Linked DNA regions of Kluyveromyces lactis. The protein of the gene in region 1 binds, or shares a complex with, the protein of each later gene. Links are inferred from orthologs where the notes say so. Each region holds a gene or a part of one and is shown in the gene's direction. Other genes may lie near its edges.

Region 1 (2,692 bases):
CTCTTCCTCTGGTGTTAACATAATGAGTGACTTACCTTCTTTACCGAATCTGGCTGCTCTTCCAACTCTGTGGATATATGTATCGACATCCTCAGGACAATCAACCTGGATCACCCAATCAACAGATGGGAAATCAATACCTCTAGCAACCACATCAGTTGAGAATAGACAGACATGTTGCGCTCTGCTGAACTTATCCAGCGTCTCAGTTCTCGCCGTTTGCTTTTGTCTACCATGCAAGTGCATCAAAGATATACCAGGTTGTAATTTCCTGAAAGTTTCATAAACAAAATGCACCTGTTTAGAGCTTGATAGAAACACAATTAACTTAGACTTTAAATGCGATTTTATGAAACTGAACAGAATGTCAAGTTTGTCAGGTAGTGGCACTTCGATATATGACTGCTGTAAAGATTCTGGAGTCGCAGATGAACTATTAGCATTTAAAACTTCCATCGTTCCTACCTGTTTGTAATCTGTCAAAGATAATCTAGCCAAGTCATCCAAACTTTGTGATTGAGTAGCTGAAAACAAAAGTGTTTGTCTTGAAGCAGGCAAATTATTAATAATGGCATCAAGGGTTCTCTTGAAACCCATATCTAGACATCTGTCGGCTTCATCGAGTACTAACAACTGTAAATTTGAAGTATTGAATCCAACGGCTTGATCCATATGCTGTAAGATTCTGCCTGGTGTTCCTATTAGAATGTTAATTCTCGAAATTCTCTCTTTCTCAAAAGTAACATCTTTACCACCAATAACCAAACCGGCGGAGAAGGTAGTGTGCTTACCAATTTTACTTAACACTTCATATATTTGCATGGCCAATTCTCTTGTTGGGGAGATGATCAATGCACCTAGCCCATCCATGTCTGTCCACTTCTCTCTGTATAACTTTTCGATAACAGGGATCAAAAATGCTAGAGTCTTACCAGAACCTGTCTTGGCAGCGCCTAATACATCGTGGCCTTTCAAGGAGAGAGGTATGGACTCGCGCTGAATCTCGGTTAATTTGATAAATGCTGCTTCTTTCAACCCTTTTAGAGTTTGTTCACTAATGGGTAAATCTTGAAACAAATTAGCCTTAGCAATTTTCGGGTTATATTCTTCAACCTTAGTTTCAAGATCTTTGATCTTCTGGCTGTCTCTTTCACGAATCAGCTTACGCTGCTGGGTATTATGCTTTTGTTTCTTGGCCATCTTTAAATGCTCTTTGCAAACCAATTATAAGTTATATTGGCACAGTTGATTAAACGTTTAGTTAAATGATTAAATGCACCAGTTTGCTACTTTAATCAACTTCTCTATAGGTCGATTAATGATACCGCTCAAAGACAAAGTAAACTACTTTTCCTTGAGGTTGAGGTTCGAACCTCTATCTAGATGAGATGAGATGAGATGAGCTCTTCTATTTACCAAAAATTTTCTTTTCTATTTCTTTTTTCCTACAACATGAAAAGCGATGAAATGACAGATGAACCTTATATTGTGAATTGCACAATATATGGAATAAATATGTAAGATATATGGAATATACCGTCATCTATGGAAGCAACGGCGCCAAAAGAATGAGCATCAAACGTGAAGGTAGCAGATATCGATACGATCACGAAACGAAAAGAAGCCGCTATGAAGGTGCCCAAAAAAAAGTAATCTTGCCTATATTTGAGCCATCAGGATTATTGGAACTGGAAAGCCACCAGAAAAAAGGCATACAACTTAAGCATGTAGAGCCCAAAGATGCGATATCACCCCACGATTTCTATAAAAAGCTAAAAGTACCTAAGTGGGATCAAATTCGTTATGAGCTTGTTGTGTATAGGAAGGGCGTCAAGGGTGAAGTAAGTAAAACTAAGTTGCATGATAAAAGTTGCTATATTATCGGTAGAGGATTAGGTCAGAGTCTACGACGCTTCGAATCTGATGGAGAGGAAATTATTCTTGCTGATATCCCAATCCAAGAGGAAAGCTGTTCGAAAGAACATTGTGCCGTACAATTCCGACAAGTCGGTGAATCTTTAATTCCATACTTGATTGATCTTGATTCTTCCAACGGTACGTGTTTGAATGATTCAGCCGTTCCTAGCGCCCGGTATATCGAGTTAAAGAGCTCTGATATTATACACGTATCTGAAGATCCAAATGATTCAGATTATGAGCTCATTTTCCTAGCCGTATGATCTATTCTTTTGTATTTTTCATGTACAAGTCCTTCTTGAGAATCGATTTCTTGAAACCTTATATTATTTGTATTTTATAAAATCGGAAATGTAATTTCTATACATTACAAAACTATGTGAGAAAAAGATAAATCAATATCGATGTATGCTAGAGAATGGAAGAGGTAGTTGGACTCGTTTTAAATATGTTAAACAAGAACTTTTTCTTTTTTTTTTTTTTGCTGCTTTATTCTTCTCGTTGCGTACAAGTCAATGGAACTTTCCGCAGTTGTGTTGTTCCAGACATACGGGTCAGCATCAGAGCTTGTCAAATATAGAAATGACATGCGCAAGACAATACAGATTTGGAAATTGAAAGATTGCAAAGTAAACTAAAGTTTTGCTTTCGGATGTGACTTCATTCGCAGGACGGAAGAAAACAAGCATTGTTGAATTCGTTATTTTTTTTCTTTCAGTTGAGTTTATAGTCTCCCATTGTTTTCGGAGTATTGAAGGTGATTATAATTCGTCAT
Region 2 (2,608 bases), about 350 kb from region 1:
TTTGAAAAGACTTGGGAAAGTTTTCAGAAGGGCATACCGGACGAAAACAGAACAAGAGGATGCCCAAGTGTTTGAAGAGCTCGTGGCGGAAGCAAGCAAGAAAAAGGGTCATAAGCATCACACTAGCAGCACTGCCAATAAACAGTGAATACAAAATATTCTCAAACCGAGTGCTTCCTACCTAATAATAGCATAAACACTTGCCAATTCTTGTTTTTTCATTCTTTATTTCTGCATCATGTTCATATATACATACATAGCTTGCTACTTAATTGACAATAATATTAATTTAACATAGCGATAAACTTTCGACTACGCAACCGAATATTGCAACTCCTGACGATCAACGGGGGAGGGCTGTAAATTACAAATATTGTTTAAGAATTGCTCTACGTTCTGATTGAGACTGAGCAGCAGGTTTTCCCTCCTTTATGTCTTGAGAAACAAGGTCATCGGCTTCGATAGACTTTTCTATATATGTGATCAACTTATCTAAGTCGACGGCGGCAGTTGGAATACGAACCATTCCATGATCATCACATACCAAATAATCGCCGGGATTAATTGTCTCCGTAGTGCCATCGCTAATCTTAATCTTCAACTCACAGTTATACGAAATCGGTTTCAAAACTGCTTTTGGAGCACAGGTACCGATACCGTAACTGAAAACGCTGTGATCCAATGCCTTATGCTCTTCGATATCTCTGATTCTACCAAATACAACCGTACCATGGCTGCCTAAATATTTTGCTCTTGTAGACATTAATCCACCGTACATGCCCTGAATAGGTTTGGTATATGGAGCACTGCTCAATTGTAAATCTTCAGTCATACCGATGGTTACGATAGATTCTGCTGGCACATTATCGATGTAATTGACACTGGGTTTATCTTGGGTAGCATTTTTATGCCCGAACAACACAGGAAAAGCCCTACCCACGATAGTCCCAGACCCTGACCTTCTCACCAAATTAGGGAAATATCCACCATTAGTGATTCCATACAAATTCAATAGCCCATCTGAGATGTCACAAGTAGTGAAATGTCTCAACCTTGCAAGATACTCTGACATTCTGCGTGTGGGAATTATAATTCAGCAGCGATCCCGGTAGTGCATAAACTCTGGATTTAACTTCTTTCGAGCGATGGAAAAGTGTTGATAATTTAAAGGTGTTAAAGATTTGAATAAGTTTCTTGAAAGTTCGTTTATATAAGAACAAGAAGACAATTGAAGGTGTTACGCACGAATGGAGGAACCGGAGAAGAATTTGACGGTTACCGAAAAGGAGCTGCAATTTTCTGATAGAAAGGATAAGGAATAACCAATAGAGCTGGTACTTTGCGGTCATTGGGAGGCTGGTTCAACTGTGAATATTTGGAAGTGAAGATCCAATACGATTATCAATTATGAATCAGATAAGGTCGATACAGAAACTTAGTGAAAGGGAGTTGGAATGTGGGATTCTAAAGCCAGAAAGCTCATGGCATCATGAGTATAAAGATCAGGCCTACATAAACTTTGGAGGGATGCACCTCGAATTGACAGAAGCTGATATTCTCACCATATTCTCCCAGTACGGCTGTCCTGTGGACATCAAACTTGTACGCGACCAGACAACTGGAAAATCTAAAGGGTTCGGGTTTCTCAAGTATGAAGATCAAAGATCGACTATACTTGCGGTGGATAACCTAAATGGAGCCAAGGTTTGTGGAAGACTGATACGAGTAGATCATGCTTTTTATAGGCCAAGATCCGATGAAGCTGAGTACGAGGAAGCTGTAAGACAAGAGTTGGAGAAGGATTTCGCAAAAACAGGAGACGTACCGAGTGAACCCATGAAGCAAGAATCGGTGGCTGACCCGTTGGATGAGTTTGCTGATCCAATGGCTGCGTTTCTGAAGAAATGAAATTCACATTCCTAAAGGAACAAGTACGGAGCAGTTCTTTTATGACAACGTAGACTTTTAGTTTCAAATGATATTTATGTACATATCCTGTAACTACTTTTCAATAATTTAGATACATGAATTTACGGACGCGAGAGCATATAACTTATGGCATCGGTGGTGGTGGAGGGATGACCGGCACTGGAGGAGCGGGAGGAGCGGGAGGGATTGCGCCAGTAGGTGCGACAGATACATCTTCAGCACCTGGTGTATGGAACTTATCTTCCTCATCAGAGGCCACCGACTCTGGGATAGATAGTACGTCGGATGCATCATCCGGCTTTGGTTCTTCGTTCTCTGCTAAAGTTGCAGTTCCTCCTACTTTTAGTAAAGGAGCTGCCACAGGAACAGCAGGTGCTACGTCACTGTTTATTTGAGGCAATGGTGGGGCGATAGGTACTGGTGGGGCACCAGACCCTTCAGTAATCGACGTAGGCAATGGAGGTGGAGGTGGGATCAGGGATGATTCGCTTTTAACTAAAGGCAAAGGTGGTGCAATAGGAACAGCGACAGACGATTGTTCTTGAGTGGTTGCAGAAATCTGTGGGAGAGATGGTGCCACAGGAACGGACGCGGTAGATGTAGCAGGAACAGCGGTACTACTGACATCAACAGCTTTGTTGGCTGTAGTATTTACCTTCTCTGTTTCGTCATCATCTGA

Evidence for each region. Proteins that work in one complex are often made in the same cells at the same time.
Region 2: the proteins of PML1 (region 1) and IST3 are in contact, whole or in part, in an NMR structure (PDB 2MY3), measured with the Saccharomyces cerevisiae proteins. The link is inferred for Kluyveromyces lactis from reciprocal best matches to the Saccharomyces cerevisiae genes PML1 and IST3. Residues at the interface, in NP_013116.1 of Saccharomyces cerevisiae: Ser23, Tyr25, Ile26, Asp27, Ile28, Met29, Pro30, Asp31, Phe32, Ser33, Pro34, Ser35, Gly36, Leu37, Leu38, Glu41; in NP_012270.1 of Saccharomyces cerevisiae: Asn39, Glu41, Leu42, Thr43, Glu44, Gly45, Asp46, Leu48, Val50, Val60, Arg64, Asp65, Glu66, Asn67, Lys96, Ile97, Gly98, Gly99, Lys117, Tyr118, Ala121, Val122, Glu125.

What each region holds. Positions count from the first base shown.
Region 1 is NC_006040.1:802,896-805,587, forward strand, and holds PML1 (Pml1p), read left to right. Parts: upstream 1-1,526; coding exon 1,527-2,180; downstream 2,181-2,692. Other genes in the region: RNA-dependent ATPase HCA4, read right to left, coding at 1-1,200. UniProt on the Saccharomyces cerevisiae protein: Required for efficient splicing and pre-mRNA nuclear retention.
Region 2 is NC_006040.1:1,156,791-1,159,398, reverse strand, and holds IST3 (U2 snRNP complex subunit IST3), read left to right. Parts: upstream 1-1,407; coding exon 1,408-1,908; downstream 1,909-2,608. Other genes in the region: DJP1 (Djp1p), read left to right, coding at 1-148; KLLA0_D13442g (bifunctional 4-hydroxy-4-methyl-2-oxoglutarate aldolase/oxaloacetate decarboxylase), read right to left, coding at 365-1,072; actin cytoskeleton-regulatory complex protein PAN1, read right to left, coding at 2,054-2,608. UniProt on the Saccharomyces cerevisiae protein: Required for pre-mRNA splicing and spliceosome assembly. As part of the pre-mRNA retention and splicing (RES) complex, required for nuclear pre-mRNA retention and efficient splicing. Required for MER1-activated splicing.